Rattus norvegicus: one gene and its partners. The protein of the gene in region 1 interacts with the protein of each later gene in a pairwise test. Links are inferred from orthologs where the notes say so. Each region holds a gene or a part of one and is shown in the gene's direction. Other genes may lie near its edges. The genes, in order: Eif4enif1, Eif4e, Eif4e2, Efhc1 and Dtx2.

Region 1 (3,517 bases):
CATGGTTCTCTTTGACCCCAACCCAGTAAACCTCAACCCCACTTATATCTCTCTTCCCAGCTATTAGCTGTTGACATCTTTATTTACCAACCAGAAATGATTTGGGAGCACAGTCTACATCTTTGGGACAACCAGGTCCTGGGAGGCCGGTATTTAGCATTACAATAGATAACAAAAGGCCTGTATTTAGCATTACAATAGATAATCAAAGACCAGACTTCAAAAAATGAAAGTGAGACTCTGTATGTGCCCAAGGTGATGAGAGATACAGGGTCTCTGACTCTAGAGTTATGGGCAGTTGTGAGCTGTCTGGTGCGGCTGCTGGGAATTGAAGTCAGATCCTCTGTAAGACAATGTGGACTCTTCATCACTGAGTCATTTCTTCCCACAGGTGTCACTCTCCCCCTCTATTATCCCCTTTTTGTTTTTGAGACTAGGTCTGTTTAGTCCTTGCTGTCCTGGAGCTCACTATGCCTCCTTGAGTGCTCACCGTCTCCTTCGAAGTGTGTGATTTCAGCCTTATTCCTAACAAATTCATTTTAAGTGTTCCGTCTGTCTATTTCAGTGTCAGCCTTTTGGACAGCCTCACTACAGTGACGAAATAGTTGTCATTGGTAGCCAATGAGAATTCTTCCTCAACACCCTTTGCTTGGTGTAATAAGAACTTTCTCAACTTCTCAGCACATTCAGGGGTTGTACTTTCAGTGGAAGAGGTAGAAGCCGGGCTGAAGGGCTTGAAGGTGGACCAGCAAATAAAGAATTCAACTCCCTTCATGGCAGAACATTTAGAGGAGACCCTGAGTGCTGTGACTAGCAATCGGCAGCTCAAGAAAGATGGAGATATGACTGCATTCAACAAACTAGTGAACACCATGAAGGCAAGTGGGACTTTGCCTACCCAGCCCAAAGTCAGTGTAAGTATTCGGTACAACCTCGCCCAGCCTCTCCCACTGCAGTAATAAATAGGTTTGATGCAGGTATCCGAGTAGTTTGCAAATTTCTTTCTTTTTTTTTTAAAGTTTTATTTATTTTATGTAGATGAGTACACTGTAGCTGTCCTCAGACACACCAGAAGAGGGCATCGGATCCCATTACAGATGGTTGTGAGCCACCGTGTGGTTGCTGGGAATTGAACTCAGGACCTCTGGGAGAGCAGTCAGTGCCCTTGACCCCTCAGCCATCTCTCCAGCCCTGCATTTTCTTTAGAAGTTGTTTGGTCTTTGTTTGTCCCTTAATTATGGATATTGATTTGTTATTAGAAGAGGCATATCTGATGGTGTGTGTGTTTGGGACAGTAGTGTGGCCAACTAATTCAGTCTGCGTCAGTTAATGCAGTGCCTCTATGAAGTCTTTCCTAAGAAGGGAAGGACTGAGTTGTAGATTTTAGCCCTGTTTGGAGATACACATATCTAATATGTGGGGTTATCTATGCAAAAAGGAGAGGAAAAAAAGAAATTGATCCCTTGTGCTGAACTGGGCATAGTGACGTGTGCTTCTAACCCTAGTGTCTGTGAGGGCAGGAGCTCAGGGCCAGGTAGGACCACCTGATACCCATTTGTTTTATTTTGTTTTCGTTTTTTTTTTTTTCCCCCTAAGATAGTTTCTCTGTGTAGCCCTAGGTGTCCTAGAACTCACTCTGTAAACCAGGCTGGGGACAAACTCAAAGATCTCCCAGCTTCTACCTTCCAAGTGTTGAGATTAATGATGAACCATCACTGCCTAACTGTAGATAATGTTATAATAAAATTTTACAAGATTTATTTAATTATATTTGTATGAGCATTTAGTTTGTGTGTGTGTCTGTGCACTACTTGCATGCCTGGTGCACACAGGCCAGAAAAGGGCATCAGGCCCCCCTATGACTGGTGTTTCAGATGGTTCCGAGCCTCCATGTGGGTGAAGGAATATTTGTTCACTGGAAGAGCAGCCTGTGTGCTAACCACTGAGCAGCCTCACCAGCTCCCTACAGTAAAGTCTTTATTGTCACACTTTGTATATACTCAAATATCTAGATTGCCTGTTCTCTTGATTAGACTGATTAATTAAATTTAACTAAATCAATTAAAATACCAAAGGTGGAGCTGAGCATGGTGGTAAAGACTGATAGTTCCATCACTACTTGGAAACTGGAGGCAGAATAATTCCAAATTCAAAGGATAGCCTGATCTAGAAAGGTGCACACACACTGTCTGTCTGTTTCCCCCCCTTCTTCCCCCTCCCCCCCCACTCTGTATCTCTCTCAGTATATATTAAAGATGTGAGGGTTTTTTGTTTGTTTTATTTTAATTTAGTTTAGTTTGTTAAGACAGGTTTCTCTATGTTGCCTTGGCTGTCCTGAAACTCATGCTGTAGACTAGGCTGGCCTCTAACTCAGAACTCAGAGATCTGCCTGCCTCTGCCTCCTGAGTGTTCAGATTAGAGGTCTGTCCAGCACACCTGGCCATGGTAGTGTTTTTTACAAGACAATTATACTGTTAATTTACTAATAGTAAGAAGCTGCAATTGGTTTTGTTTGTATTTCAAGTTGCAGTTTGTTTTATATTGTAGATTGCTCCCCTAGCTTTAATTACTGAGTCGGCTCTCCAGCCATAATGCAGGTTTATAACACGCACTGATTTATAACATGCACTGATTTCCATCATAATGGTGTTTAGAGTGAGTTTCAGCTCAGTGTTAATGTGGCCCTATCACTTGTATACAGAATGATTGGGAAGCAAGACAGATCTGAAGGATGAAACCTAGACTCAGTTGCTCTGCTATATCAAGTCTGTCAAATTGAATTTGCCTCTTTTCCTCCTCAACCCTTTTTGGCTAGGAACTACAAAACGTGTGAACAGCAATAAATGTTTGATTCACTATGTCCTTTTACAAAGTATTTTGAGTGCATGTATGTATTCTTATGGGCATGTGTGCCACAACGTGTGTAGAGGTCAGAGGACAACTTGAGAGAGTCGTTTTCTCTTTGCACACTAAACCGTGGAGTTGATGTCGGATTGTTGGACTTGACAACAGGCACTTTACCTGATGATTGTCTCTCCAGCCCTGGGGTTTGTCACTGATTAGTTTTCATTCAAATCCTGCCATAGGGTTGCTTTCTCCTTTCAGCGTGAGTCTCCAGAGGTGGAGGCAAAAGAGCTGGGAGCAGTGGGGGAGGAAGCAGGAGAAGGGCAAGTTTGAGACCAGCTTGTGCTACATAGACAGACTCTCTGTCTTGAAGGAAAAAAGGGAGAGAGAAGGGAGTTCAGTATTTCATATCTCAACCTTTGATTGGTTTTGCACAATATTGACCTTCAGCTGTGAACACACTTGGTTTGATATTAGAGTGTCGTGCTGTTGTGCACATGTAGCTTCAGGTATGGTGGTGAAGTGAGCTTCTGACCCCTGATAATAAGCGGCTAGGTAAATATTTACACAGATTCAGAATTGTATCTGTGCTGGCTTGGTTTGCATTTGAGCTCCTGCTCTGTCTACTGCTGGGTACTAGTTCTCATCTGACTCTGTGCATCTGATAAAGTTC
Region 2 (3,517 bases), on another chromosome or scaffold:
TAGGCTTTGTTGTTTTTTATTTATTTTTTTAAAAGTCATTTTGTAGGGCTGGAGAGATGGCTCAGTGGTTAAGAGCACCGACTGCTCTTCCAGAGGTCCTGAGTTCAATTCCCAGCAACCACATGGTGGCTCACAACCATCTGAAGACAGCGACAATGTACTCATATATACTAAATAAATGAAATATTTAAAAAAAAAAAAAAAGTCATTTTGTAAACTGCTCTGTGATTCTTTAGGTAAGGGTGCTTGTTTCCAAGTCTGACTACCTGAGTTTAATTCCCAGAACCCACTGCTCTCTTACCTCCATTGGTTTGCCACAACATGTGTGTCCTGTCTTCACAACAAAACGCAGTCAGATCTTACTCATTTGCTTTCTTGTGTCTAGATCAGGATAGCTTCAGACTTGCCAATGCTGCCTCTTCCTGACCAATGTCAGATGTCAGTTGTTGATTAGAATTAGTTTAGTTTTATAACTATCCCTAAGAGTCCTGCGCTTTCTTCTTAGTTGTTGATGATCTATATAGTCAATGTAATTTGCTATTTTTGTTTTATTTTTAGCTGCTGTGCCTTATTGGAGAATCTTTTGATGACTACAGTGATGACGTGTGTGGAGCTGTTGTCAATGTTAGAGCTAAAGGTGATAAGATAGCAATATGGACGACTGAATGTGAAAACAGAGATGCAGTCACACACATAGGGTGCGTTGTGCTCCCCTCCTTGCTTCCTTGACTATTTATTAACTAAATGTAGACGTCCTTTACATACATAGCTTTAGACAGTTGGATTTATAAACTTTTTATTTTCTTCGTAAATGTTTTCCTGGGGGCTGGGGATTTAGCTCAGTGGTAGAGCGCTTACCTAGGAAGCGCAAGGCCCTGGGTTCGGTCCCCAGCTCCGAAAAAAAAAAAAGAACCAAAAAAAAAAAAAATGTTTTCCTGGACACAAGTTTGGATCCTGTTAACGTTGAATGTGTTTGTCTTTTCTATTGCTGTAACATGGCTTTGCACTGGTGGTGCATGCACTGTCTAGGACAGCTTCCTCCCATACTTAGAGCCCATGTGTTTATAAGTTTCTCTGTTGAAAATTTTATTTTTTATAATTCATACACATAAGTTTTGCTAGAAGTCTCTTTGATTACATGAAAATTAGTAAAAAGCAAAATGAAGTTTGATTCTAAGTGGAATTTGCAATGAGTCATTGTTGACTTGTCATTTTTCATCTTTTAGTATTAACATTGACCTGTTAGCAGTGTTGTATTTCTTCAAAAAACAGAAATTGCTACAGAACTTTTTGTGTCAGTATTAGATGTTTTGAAGTTTTATAACTACCTAGAAGAGGCTTGTGCTTTCTAAGTTGTTGATGATCTGTATACATCTTAACTTCAGTTTTCCAAGGAAAAAGTTTTTCAATGCTTCCAGCTGACACAGTTTAACTTCTTGTTGCTGTGTGCGCGCACACGCACGCACGCGCACACACACACACACACACACACACACACACACACACACACACACACGTACATTTTTTAATAGTAAAGAGTATTTTTAAAAAAACTGTTACAATGTCATTTCATACTAATTGCCTTAAAAAAAAAACAAAAACAAAAAAACTTTGGAAGAAGTATGATTCTGCCAGGGGTAAAACTGTGGAAATGGCACTTTTGTTTTAGTTTTACTGTTTGTTTTTTGAATGTTCTGTATTATTTCTTTCTAAGATTAAAAATTAAGTTCTCTGCTCTTTTCTCAGGTTTTTGTCGGTCTTATTTTATACCCACTTACAATCTAGCCACACAGCTTTCATTTTTATAGCTTTTGTTGTTTCTTCTCAACCTTTAGATGTGTTTCATTCCCTGAAGATTAGACTGTTAACACCTCGACATCCCTCCACCCACCCACCCACTTGAAGCAGGGTCTCTGTGTACCTAGCCCTGGCTCTGTCAGAACTCACGCTGTAAACCAGAGATGTGCCTGCCTCTGCTTCCCAAGTGCTGTGATTAAAGGCGCGCACCACAATGCCCAGCCCCCTTTTGGCCTTTTAAGGAGAGATTTCTCTAATACTGCAGATGAGCTTTAGACCCTCTGAATTGTAGTTGATAGTCATATACCTAAGCCCTGTTTAGTACACATCACATTTTATTTTTAAAGTAGTCACAACTAATTTGAAAATTGGTTTGTGAAGTTGATACATAAGGCAAAATAGAATTCATATGTAAATAGAATTTTTATTTTACTTTTTGAGATAGGATCTTGCTATGTTAACCAAGCAATTGCTGTGAGCCCGTGAGCTGATTCTGATTTGCCCGTTTCTGTTTGGTATAATCGTACCTTTTTATTAGTAGTAATAATAAAGACAAACCTGGTGGGATTCCAGTTGTCTGTAACATGATTAAAGTATAGTTGTGAAAGTAAAGACTAATTTTTAATTTTGCTAGTTATACTGAAAGAAAATGAACACATTTTGATTTGCATTTTTAATGCATCGACTAATACACTACAGCTTTATAAAATGCATTTAAATCCTTTTTCTTTTTTAAAGAAATACTAATGTTTCTTGTCTCCTGTGTCTTGTAGGAGGGTATACAAGGAAAGGTTAGGACTTCCTCCGAAGATAGTGATTGGTTATCAGTCCCACGCAGACACAGCTACAAAGAGCGGCTCCACCACTAAAAATAGGTTTGTTGTTTAAGAAGACACCTTCTGAGTATCCTCACAGGAGACTGCGTCACGCAATCGAGATTGGGAGCTGAACCAAAGCCTCATCAAAGCAGAGTGGACTGCACTGAAGCTGACTCCATCCAAGTGTTGCTAAGATATAAGAGAAGTCTCATTCGCCTTTGTCTTGTACTTCTGTGTTCATTCTCCTCCCCCACCCCAATTTTTGCTAGTGTGTCCACCATCCCAATCAAAGAATTACAGTATACGTCACCCCAGAACCCACAGATGTGTTCCTGGCCCGCTCTGTAACAGCCGGGTAGAGTTACCACGACACACACTTGCCTTTCCACAGTATTCGAAAAAGAACGTGCATTTCTGTCACCTTAGCAGGAAAAGATCTGGTTTTGTTCCACTCCATGCAGGAGCGGATTTGCTGGTGTGAGAGTCTAAGTACAGCTTTCTAGCAACCTTCTGTTTTCTGTCACAGCATTGTCCTTGCTGTCCTCTTGCTGATGGCTGCTAGATGTTAATTTATTTGCTTCCCTCCTTGATAACATTAGTGATTCTGATTTCAGTTTTTCATTTGTTTTGCTTTTGTTTTTTTCCTCATGTAACATTGGTGAAGGATCCAGGACTATGACAGAAAGGTGGAATAAACATTACATTTGTGCATTCTTTGGTAATTTTTTTGTTTTTTGTAACTACAAAGCTTTGCTACAAATTTATGCATTTCATTCAAATCAGTGATCTATGTCTGTGTGATCCCTAAACATAATTGTGGACTATAAAAATGTAACACCATAATTACATTCCTAACTAGAATTAGTTGTCTGCTTTTGTATCTTTATGCTGTACTTTAACAC
Region 3 (3,274 bases), on another chromosome or scaffold:
AAAATGTGGAAAGTCCTCTCTTCCTTCTGGCTCAGTGAGACATGTTCCTCCAGTGCCTTGGCATCTTCTTCCTGCTTTACATATTAAACTTGTCCCTCAAGACCAGCCTGAGTGTTTCCTCTGCGGTTCCCACTGTATGCTCTCTCACCACACCATGTGCAGATACAGTAGTACTCATTAGGCTGGGTGGCTGTAATTAATTCGTTGTGCGTCTCTCCTCAGCTCCATTGTGCCTGTGTTAAGATCTGAGCTTCTGTCTATGTTCTTGGTACTTAGTGATGGTCAGATTTTAGCAAAAATTGATTATGGCCTGTGGTTGAAATAGTTTCACTGTGGTTCCCGAAATAGTTCAGATAAAGGTGGATACTTTTTAAAAGATCTGTTTAGTCCTTTAAAATTATTTAAATCAATGATTTTTTTTTCTTTTTTTGTTCCCTATTTCTTCTTTTCTTAACATTGAAATAATGTCAGATTGGAAAAGTGGCTAGACTTGACTGTTCTTCAGAAGTATTCTTTGGTATTCGCAGATGACATTGTGGAGCAGTAGTTTACCCGAGACGCTTTCTGTCTTTCTATAGGATGATGCAAATAAAAATGGGGGCAAGTGGATCATTCGACTCCGGAAGGGCTTAGCTTCCCGCTGCTGGGAGAATCTCATCCTGGCCATGCTCGGGGAACAGTTCATGGTTGGGGAGGAGATCTGCGGGGCTGTGGTCTCTGTCCGCTTCCAGGTAAGCCAGCCCAGGCCATTGTTCTTTCTGAGTCGCCGCCATTCTCATTGCTATTTCTGTTGGTTTGGTAATTCATTCTGTTCCTCCCTTAGGAGGACATTATTTCTATATGGAATAAGACTGCCAGCGACCAAGCAACCACAGCCCGAATCCGGGACACTCTTCGGCGCGTGCTTAACCTACCTCCCAACACCATTATGGAATACAAAACTCACACCGACAGCATCAAGTACGTGTTGGGGGGTTTGGGGGGGACAGGTCCCTGAGCTTAGCAGAGTTAACTCCATAGTTGGTCCCAGACAAATGTGGTCACATGACACTGACTTGTGATGCAGGGACATATCAGCCCCCTCCAGGGCTTTGGCCACTTGCTGAAGTTCTTATTAGTGAGGCTCCGAGGACCTACTGTGAGGTGCTGTGAAGCAAAGGGCCCTTCTTCAAAACCCAGTTTTCCTGCCTGGGCTGGCTTCTTTTCTACAGGCTATCTTGTCTTTCTTATGCTAACCACTATTTTAAAATGAAAGACAAAGCTCTTTCAGAAGTTTCTCTGTCTGTTTTTAAAAACAATTATTGAACAATAAAATCCTCTTCCCTGCCCACCCTGACCCCACCTTTGCATGTCTGTTTAACCTGTTAGCCTAGTCTGTTCTCTTTGTCTTGGGAGATTGACTTCTTACCAGGAGTGGTGACTCTATTTTGTATGTATAGAACTGGAGTCTAGATACAGTACAGTAGGTTGTGAGAGAGGAGAAGGGAAGGTAGAGCCACAGGAGAAAGAAGCTTTGTATCCCACTGAAGACAGTGAGTGCTCTCCACATGGAGAATCACTGGTGAGGGCTTCTCCTTCAGGGACAGTGACAGAGATGAGCTCAGGTCATTATGAATGGCTTCTAGATTGTCTCAAAGGTGGAAGGAAAACCAGCCACCAGGAGTCAGGTCTTTATGTTCATTGTCTCCTGTGGCCCTGAGCCAGTATGTGCCTTTGGCAAGTCTCTGCAACTGTATCAGTTTCTCCAGCTATGAGGTGGGAGTACAGAAATAAATAGTAAGGTTGTGGTTAGGCTGGTCTAATCTTTGTAACTGAAGGTCCTCAGAGCAAGAAAGCTTTTACGGACCAAGTATCATTGCTGTCGTCATTAGTGCAGTGCCATCATCATGCCATTCCTATTCAAGACTAATAGTAAGACAGTAGTTGTATCAGCAGCAGTAGACTATGTGAGACTCTTTCCCACGTGTTCACATATGATGTCGTGGTGGAGTTCACTTATACCAGCTAGGTGCCAGTTTTTGACTGGGAGGACTGCCATAGGCTGGTCCTATATCAGATGGCTCTGACTCACTGGAGCCACCAGCACTCATTTGCCATCTGTGGCCTTGGTTGCTTGTCTCAATAATCCTGTGTCAGCACTGTTTTTCTTAGAGCAGGTCTGTCTTACACTCTGCTGCCAACAGAGATAGTATCTGCCCTCCTGCTAGGTTAGTCCAAGCTCAGAAAGTCTACATCTTTCCCTAGGATTCTTGTTTGCTGGGTTCCCATTTAACCTGGTTAGGAAAGGGAAAGAGTAGTTTCCATTCACTCCCCACTGTTCCCCCTTTCTGATACCTGGAGGCAGTTCATCTTGACTTGTAAAGTCCCATAAACAAATCCTTCCAGGACCTAGGAGCCTCCGGGACTCCTGCCCTGCAGCTGTAGCACCCTCCTCAAGACCCAGATGCAACTTTCCCTTGCTCCCCACTCTCTTTCCTCTCCCAATGAGCTACCTTTTGCACTTCCACTAGAATGCCAGGCAGGCTGGGCCCCCAAAGGCTCCTTTTTCAAAACCTCTGGAAGCCGCGATTGAATGTGCCATGACACTCTCCCTCTCTGGATGGCACCATCATTGAAGCTGGCGTCATCGGAGTCTCTTGTTCTGTTGGCGTGCCACCTGGAAGACCCTTCTGTCCTGGACAAGAGGAACGGAAGAGCATGTTACCTTTGAGAACAGGCTGACAGCAGCAACTACTACAACAGCTGAGATCACAAATAAATGGTGCTAAACCAGCTTGTCTCATGCTCTTGCTCTTTATGGTGCATCAAGATGTGGCCTCTGGATTGACTGTCACCACTATCAAGGGATGGCATACAGACTTCTCCATGCAGGGCCTGGATTCAGGGAACGCAGCTTCATAGCCACAAGCCCATTGTGTATTCATGGTACTTTATTCCAGGACTGTTGTGGTCTGACATTAAATAAGGAGGAGACGTCTAACTCTCAAGACCCAACTGCCTGGTGCTCAAGTGTACTAGTTTCCATCCAGTTAGACTGATGGCTGGCCCAGAGTGGCGGCTGAGTTCAGGGCCAGTTTGAAAGTCTCGTATGGTTGGAAAGGGGTATCCTTGGCTTTTCTTTGCTAACTTCCATTTGCCTTTAGTTCATAGAAATCTCTTGCTTGGAGCTAAAGCCCTGCTTCTGTCTGTCTGTGGCCATACATACATACTTTTTTTGCTTTGTGCTGATGGGGTATTCTCTCTGGTGCCAAAGCTGCTTGGCAACCTCCTCCCT
Region 4 (3,517 bases), on another chromosome or scaffold:
TTCTCACCTTTGACAAACAAGTAAGTCACCTAATCGAGTAGGATCACTCCTGATTGAATGTGGACATGTGTTTATGGGAAAACTGCTTTGATAGCCTGCATATAATTTAACCATTGTCACACAGTGGTTCCATATAGGGCTAAAACTATGCCTATATCTCTACTTTTTAAATGTATTAAACATTTTATTACATTTTATTAATTTTTGGATGTGCAAGTGTATGCCATTCCTACTGGAGTCAAAGGACAACTTCTGGGCAGTGGTCCTCTCATTCTGTCCTGTGGGTCCTGGGCATGAAACTCAGGTTGTCAGGCTTGGTAGCAAGCTCCATTACCTAGTGGGCCATCTGGCAGGCCCTCAGCTTTATTATTAGAGATATAAAGGCATCCGTTGACATCTTGTAAATCCATCCATGTGTTCTCATGGTAAAGCAATTCCTGAGCCACACGCATCTACTTCTCTTTCCATTTCAAATTCCCCACTTCCGTTTCTCTGTCTTAGTCAGGGTTGCTCTTGTCCTGATGAAACATCAGGGCCAAAAGCAGCTTGAGGAAGACGGGGTCTATTTTCCTTCTCTTCCATATCATAGTTCATCACTGGAGGAAGTCAGGACAGGAACTCAAGCAAGGCTGGAACCCAGGGGCTGGAACTGATGCAGAGGCCATGGAGGGGTGCTGCTTACTGGCTTGCTCTTCATGGCTTGCTCAGCCTGCTTTCTTATAGAACCCAGGACCACCAGCCCAGGAGTGGTACCACCCACAATGGGCTGGCCCCTCCCCCAATGAATCACTAATTAAGAAATACCTAACAGGCTTGCCTACAGCCTGATCTCATGGAGACATTTTCTCCACTGAGGCTCTCCCAGAGCTCTCTGATGACTCTAGCTTATGACAAGCTGACATAGAAATGAGTTTGCACAGTACTGCCTGGTGAGTTAATCTCACAGAAGCTTCTGGGAAGGCTTACATGAATCTGGGGGAAAGTTGAAAGCTGTTATATATTTATTCCGACACTACATAGTTATTAAAATAAAATAGTTAATTAAAATATTCTCGTGGATGCTTCGGGAATCCCACCTCGCATGTATCCCTGCTGAATATTTCATTAGTGTCAGCTAGAATTCAGAAGGCTCTGAGCCCTTTCTGACTCTGGCCCAGCTTTCTAGCCCCCAATTCAGCAGAGAGGCACATCTGAATCTTCTTTCACCCATAAAGGGAAGAGAATTAACGACAGTGATTACTCTGAAGTTATTGGCGTAACTTCCTGAAAGCTTAATTTTTTTATTTCAGAAAGTTCTACCCAGTGTTAGCATGGACTTAGTATTGTGGATTTTGCTGCTGGTTTTTGTTTTTTGTTTGTTTGTTTGTTTGTTTGTTGTTGTTTAGTTGGCTTGTTAGTTGACTGTGTTGAGAATGCTAGAATTAAAGGCGTATACCACACCCTAATCTTTATTAATTAATTAAGTGACTAATTTGCTTATTTCTTTTTTGAGACAAAGTTTCACTAAATAGCCCAGACTGGCCTCAAGTTAGCAATGTATCCCAGGCTTGATTTGAACTCACGGTCTTCCTGCCTCGGCATCCCATGCATTCGGATTACAGGCGTGCACCACCACACCTGGCTTTCTGCTGTTGCTTTAAATTAGAAGATTCTGTCCGTCCTATTACCAGTGGGTGTGTTTTGACAGGCTGATTATGAGAATTCCTTCCACGCCAGCTCTATATCCATAATTCGTCATGTATCTTTGCTACTATGCATAAATCCTTTATAGGAAACTCCACTGTTTTTTTTTTTAATTCAGCTTCTCTTTCCCAGACAAATATTCGGGGCCTAAGTAAGCTCTCCTTTCTTGGCAGAAACTTAGAAGACTTGTGTTATTCTTTCCAGCTGGTAAGGCAAGACGTGGTACATGATTTTTTTGTGTATTTGTGTATCCTTGATTTTTTTTTCTAATTTCCTGTCAGAAAGTGTTTTAACCACTGCACTTCATTGTCTGACAGACACTTGTCAAAGCAGTTAAAACTGTGCTTTAGAATCTTAAGTCACCACTTTGGACTCCTCAAAGGTCCTTCGATTCTACGCGATCTGGGACGACACGGATAGCTTGTTTGGAGAGTGTCGCCACTACATCATTCATTACTACCTCATGGATGACACTGTGGAGATCCGTGAGGTCCACGAACGGAACAACGGGAGGGACCCCTTCCCACTCCTCATGAACCGACAGCGCATGCCCAAAGTTTTGGTGGATAACGGAAGTAAGTTGGATTAGACGTGTCCTCTGTTATTAGGGAGGTTTGGGGAGTTCGAGGGAGCCAGTCGTCAGTGGGGTTAGTCTTTTGTACTAACATGAATGAACACGTTGGTGCATTCTTCCTTTTTTAACAATGGTTTTTCTGTGATTTTCCTTTTAGACCAGGCATACCTCCTTCATTCTCTAGTAGAGATGACTTGACACGGATAAAAGCAAAACCACGCGGCAGATAATTCATTTAAAGATGGATAGAGCAAGGCTCTTAGACTGAACCCATCTAGTGTTGGGGTCACACGTTTGTCTCGGTGACACTTGGGAGTCCATGCCAGGGAATCACTTGGACACTCAGCTACACCCCAGCCCTCTCTCCTCTTTTTATTTTTAGTCAAGGCCTCCCTAAGTTTCCAAGATGACCTTCCCCTCACTCTGCACCCCAGCCTGGCCTTGATCTTTCACTCCTGCCTGGGCTGGCACATCAGACCTACATCCAAGGCCCACGGAGCACTTAATCTTAACTTCATTTCATTGTATGCGTTGGAACCTTTGACTCTTAACTAAGCCAAGTAAGTTACTTAGCATCCTACTAAGTAACATTGCCTAACATGGAGCCTACTGCATAGACAGCACTCCTGTGCCAGTGCTGGGATCGAAGGTGTGTGCCACCAGGCCCAGCTTTATATCTTGGTTTTGATATAGTAATTAGAAGCAATAAATAGGCTTTATGCAAAAAGTCAACAGTTAGGTCTTAAGAAGTATCATTAGGCTGCAGAAAAACAGAAAGTCAAATGAGATACTGTAACATTTGCCTCAAGTAAAATCCACTTAGTATCCATGGTGAACATTGGAAAGCTGGGACCTGTGTCTTAAGAGTCTAAACCTATCTTTGCCCGGAGTGGAGAGCTGGGGAGATGGACAATCATTTTTGCATGCTCTCTGGTTCACGCTGATCTCAATAAGCAATTGATGCATACCAGAGAACTAGAAAACCAGAAGCAAAACAATCTGTAAGTTAGGGGGGGGAGAGAGGGAGAAAAGAGAGAATAAGAGCAAAAAATAAATAAAACAAATGAAAAGAAAAAATACAAAGGATCATTAAAATAGTTTGTTTTTCCAAGAAATATGAACAAAATTGGCTGTCCTGTAGCTGGACTAAGGAAAAAGAGAAAACTCTGAATCATCAGCAAGAAGGGAGACATTACAATAGATACCACAGCAATATAAAAGTTTGCTATAGGCTGTAGAGACTTAGCAGTTGAGAATGTG
Region 5 (3,987 bases), on another chromosome or scaffold:
CGTCTGCACCAGGAAATGCCAGGTGCCATCCATTCATCAGAAGTAATGAGCAAAGCAGCTCTGTCTTATCAGACTGTCCCTCTGGAGCGTCAGATGGAGACCAATTAGCAGAGGCAGGAAGCAACACAATTCTGCCTTTCCAAGCAAAACAGTAGCAACTCCCCCAGCCCCCTCCCCCGCCCTCCGCCCGCGCGCTCCACAGTGCCGGCGCTGAGGCCAGGTCTCCTTGACTTCTCTGGCTGTGCTCTCCTTTTTGCTGGGTGAGCTGGGAGCAGATTCTGGGGAATGGAACAGGCTCTGTCACGTGAATTTTAAGGACTTCTTTTGCAAATCCAGGGTCTCCTACCTACTTGCCAGATTAAGTGCTCTACCACTGAGCCATGCCACCATAAGACAAGGCTTAACATTTTTAATAGATTACTTTCTTATTTTTAAATTTAAATGTACGTTTCTTAAGACTGTGCTTGTAGGGGTTGGGGATTTAGCTCAGTGGTAGAGCGCTTGCCTAGCAAGCGCAAGGCCCTGGGTTCGGTCCCCAGCTCCGGAAAAAAAAAAAAAAAAAAAAAAAAAAAAGACTGTGCTTGTAAGCTCAGCAGTTAGGAAACAGAGGCAGGAGATTCAGGAGTTTAAGGCTAGCCTTGGCTACATAGCAAATTCAGAGGGGGTATATGAGATCCTGAACCCCCTCCACCCCCAAAAGGTGAATCTTACAGCTGGGGATTCATTAGTACTAGAACACTTGTCTGAAGTGCTTGCAATAACTTTGGTCGTCTAAAGTGCTTGCATTAACTTTGATCCTCAACACCACAAAAAGAAAAATCAGGGGTTGGCAATATGGCTTAGAGAGTAAAGGCATTTGCTGACAAGCCTGACACCTTGAGTTCGATCCGTGGAACCCACGTGAAGGTGGACGCGGAGAAGGGGCTCCTAAAGTTGTTCCTTGACCTCTATAAGTACACCCACCTCCAGAATATACACACATAATAATAAAAAGAGATATAAAAATTATTAAAAATCAAATGCATCAGTAATTAATGAAGGAGTAAATCAGTAGGAGAAAGAGAAGGAAGGCTGGGTACCTTTACAACAGCTGGTGCGCTTTGGTTCAGCCCACTCAGCTTCACCAGAACTACATTTCCCAGAAGGCACCGCGCGAGGGGGACATGCGCAACGCGGCGCTTGGAGGCTGCGACGCCGAGTTTCACTCCGGCTGCCTCCTGCTCGGAGTCGGAGATATACTCGGGGGTTCTTCCCAGGCCGAGCCGGAGCTGAGCCCGGAGGTCGGCGCTCCTCTCAACCTGTTCCTTCTGCTTCCCTCAGACTCGGTGAGCGGGACGGGCGAGCCACCTGCTGGCGCCCAGGCTAGGGTCCTGAAGGTGGGTGGGTGGGTTGAGGAGAGGGGGCTATTGAGCCAAGCTGAGACCGGAAGGGGGCGGTCGTGCGAGGGAGGGAGGGCCGTGCCGGCGGGTTGGGTGAGTCCTGGGGGCGTTGGGAGCCCTGGGCACCGGGTACCAGGGTCCTGGAGGCGGGAAGTCGCAGTTGGGACGCTCTGAGCGTTGGGGACCGGCTGGGTGTGGTGAGAGCCTTATATTTGCAGAGACGGGGGTCGCATCTCTGGCAGTTTGAGTCCTACAGGACCTGGAAGAGCCGTGAGGCTATTGCTACCCTGGTTCCCTGAGGGGACAGTTTTAGTCATCCAGGCGATAGTGATCCACCACTGGCTGAGAGTTGGACTTTGGGGGCGTTTGCCTTTCCATTCTCGGTCTCTGTCAAACTGGGTCCCCGGGGCACTTTGGGGTGTCTCTGTTTTGAAGCTCCGCTTTTCATCCTTTCCCTCAGACAGCCGCAGGGTTGCCCATATTAGCTTTGCCTCCACAGTGGCGTAAATACGAATGTGTACACAGGCAAGACATTTAAGGAACTCCATACCATCTTGGCCCCTTTAAAGTTCTAGAGAGCCGAGCGATGTGTTGCATGCTTGTAATCCCAGCATTTGGGAGACCAGGGCTTGAGGGTAGTTTAAAGCTTGCCTGTGCTGCATAACAAGATACTATATTACACACACACACCCACACTCCCAAAAAGTGTTAGCCAGGTATGGTGATTTATGCCTGTAATTTCAGTACTTGTGAGGCAGAAGCATGAGACTCAGGAGTTCCAATCTAGCCCTAAGCTATATACTGTGGACCCTGCTCAAAAAAAAAAAAAAAAAAAAAAAACCAAAAAACAAAACATTTAGCACAAGGCCCTGGGTTCGGTCCCCAGCTCCGAAAAAAAGAAAAAGAAAAAAAAAAAAAAAAAACAACCCACCAAAAAAAGAAAAAGTAAGAGTTCTGTGATGTAGACTTCCCTCCCAGTAGCCAAGAAAGTGAGGGTTGACGTCAGCTGCTTGGGTATCTAGTCTCTTTGCTTATTTACAGTGTGACTTTGGTCAAATTTTTACCCTCTCTGGGTTGATTTACTTCATGGACCGCCCGTGGGACTTCCTTCTGAGGTCCTCATATGGGCTTTTCTGGGAAAGGGCTTAGTTGAGGGGACTGAGAAAAACTGTCCCTACTTTGTGCTCCCTGCCCAGGCTGTTGTACAATAAGCCTGGTGGTTTCCAGTCGCCTGCCACAGCACACGGGACCCAACATCTGTGCGCTCGTTTTCTCTTGCCGTTTCTTCATTGAGGACTTAATCATCTTTTTGGCAAAGGTACCTCGGAATTGGTGTGGCTGAGTCAGCAAGCCCTCGGATTTTCCCGGTTCTTGTTTGCTGTTCATATCAAGATGGGAGCCCAGACAAGTTATTGCTTCTGACGATCTCCATCAAGAAGGGACAGTTTGGTGCCAGCCCTTCAGTGAAGAGGAGGTGAGAGCCATGGGGAAATCAACCTTGCTGCTTTTGAAAGCTGGTTTCAAAGGAGGTGGGTGTGGGCATGGAAGGGAGATGGCTCAGTCCATACAGTGCTTGTCTGGCAAGCAGGAGGGTCCAGATTCGCTTTCCAGAACCAACGTAGAAAGCCTGGCATGGTGGTTTGTGCTTGCGCTTTTCTGCTAGGGAGGAGACAGGTGAATCCCTGCGGTGTGCTAGGCAGTCAACCAGCCTAGGTTGATGGCACCTGCAGAACTGTAGCCCAGGCTATCCCCTAGCCTCCAGGAACCCCTAGTGCATCTGTGCACACACGCACATTGCTTTTCTACAGACACATACATAACGAAGCAGGCCGCATGGACGGTGGGATTCTGGGGTTCCAGGAGTGAAGTGAGGCCTGGGAGTTGATTGTTGATTGCCAGCTGTTGCAAATAAATTCATTTGGCTCCTTGCCAGCGCTGCTTCTGTCTAACCAGTCTTAGAGGATACATCCTTCCTTAGACATGCCTTATGGGCTGGAAACAGCTTCGGTAAAGTGCTTAGCCAGCATACAAGACCTGGGTTCAAGCCCCAGCACTTCAAAACGTTTATTTTTTATTATTGTGCGGGCCCTGGTGCACGTGTGGAGGTGACAGGGCAGTTTGCAGGAGTCACGTCTCCCTAGCAGGTAAGTTCTGGAGATCTAAGTCAAGTAATCATAATTGGCAGTAAGTACTTTTACCCGCCAAGCCATCTGACTGGTCCTGCCTTTTTTTTTTTTTTTTTTTTTTTAAAGAAATAACGCTATCCCTACTGCACAAATCTGACCACCTGGCTTCTATCCTTGGCTTCCACGGTGGAAAGAGAGACTGGATTCCCGAAAACCATCCCTTCTACACTCCTCCATTTCAAACACAAGCCCACATTCACACAAAAATAATAAATTAAAAAGAAAATAATGCCTAGCAAGGTGATGGATGCTTGTCATCCCACACTCGGGAGGCTTAGGTAGAACTGAAGGTTTGAGGTAAGCCTGGGGTATGTAGCCAGTTCACCCTTGCATGGTGGTATAAGTTGCAATCCCAGCATTCAATAAACTGAGGCAAGAGGATCATGAGTGTGGGGCCATCCTTGGATACGTAGTGAATTCTA

The links.
Region 2: the proteins of Eif4enif1 (region 1) and Eif4e interact in binary tests that used the Homo sapiens proteins (3 or more experiments, as listed by UniProt). The link is inferred for Rattus norvegicus from reciprocal best matches to the Homo sapiens genes EIF4ENIF1 and EIF4E.
Region 3: the proteins of Eif4enif1 (region 1) and Eif4e2 interact in binary tests that used the Homo sapiens proteins (3 or more experiments, as listed by UniProt). The two-hybrid records come from large-scale screens. The link is inferred for Rattus norvegicus from reciprocal best matches to the Homo sapiens genes EIF4ENIF1 and EIF4E2.
Region 4: the proteins of Eif4enif1 (region 1) and Efhc1 interact in binary tests that used the Homo sapiens proteins (3 or more experiments, as listed by UniProt). The two-hybrid records come from large-scale screens. The link is inferred for Rattus norvegicus from reciprocal best matches to the Homo sapiens genes EIF4ENIF1 and EFHC1.
Region 5: the proteins of Eif4enif1 (region 1) and Dtx2 interact in binary tests that used the Homo sapiens proteins (3 or more experiments, as listed by UniProt). The two-hybrid records come from large-scale screens. The link is inferred for Rattus norvegicus from reciprocal best matches to the Homo sapiens genes EIF4ENIF1 and DTX2.

The regions. Positions count from the first base shown.
Region 1 is NC_086032.1:82,308,245-82,311,761, forward strand, and holds part of Eif4enif1 (eukaryotic translation initiation factor 4E transporter), read left to right. Parts: intron 1-681; coding exon 682-914; intron 915-3,517. UniProt on the Homo sapiens protein: EIF4E-binding protein that regulates translation and stability of mRNAs in processing bodies (P-bodies). Plays a key role in P-bodies to coordinate the storage of translationally inactive mRNAs in the cytoplasm and prevent their degradation.
Region 2 is NC_086020.1:229,768,241-229,771,757, forward strand, and holds part of Eif4e (eukaryotic translation initiation factor 4E), read left to right. Parts: intron 1-558; coding exon 559-698; intron 699-2,570; coding exon 2,571-2,685; 3' UTR 2,686-3,517. UniProt on the Homo sapiens protein: Acts in the cytoplasm to initiate and regulate protein synthesis and is required in the nucleus for export of a subset of mRNAs from the nucleus to the cytoplasm which promotes processes such as RNA capping, processing and splicing.
Region 3 is NC_086027.1:95,347,627-95,350,900, forward strand, and holds the end of Eif4e2 (eukaryotic translation initiation factor 4E type 2), read left to right. Parts: intron 1-578; coding exon 579-731; intron 732-823; coding exon 824-960; intron 961-2,510; coding exon 2,511-2,583; 3' UTR 2,584-2,772; downstream 2,773-3,274. UniProt on the Homo sapiens protein: Recognizes and binds the 7-methylguanosine-containing mRNA cap during an early step in the initiation. Acts as a repressor of translation initiation.
Region 4 is NC_086027.1:30,882,261-30,885,777, forward strand, and holds part of Efhc1 (EF-hand domain-containing protein 1), read left to right. Parts: coding exon 1-20; intron 21-2,065; coding exon 2,066-2,258; intron 2,259-3,517. UniProt on the Homo sapiens protein: Microtubule inner protein (MIP) part of the dynein-decorated doublet microtubules (DMTs) in cilia axoneme, which is required for motile cilia beating.
Region 5 is NC_086030.1:26,316,702-26,320,688, reverse strand, and holds the start of Dtx2 (probable E3 ubiquitin-protein ligase DTX2), read left to right. Parts: upstream 1-1,181; 5' UTR 1,182-1,325; exon of another isoform or gene 1,326-1,376; intron 1,377-2,697; 5' UTR 2,698-2,853; intron 2,854-3,987. UniProt on the Homo sapiens protein: Regulator of Notch signaling, a signaling pathway involved in cell-cell communications that regulates a broad spectrum of cell-fate determinations.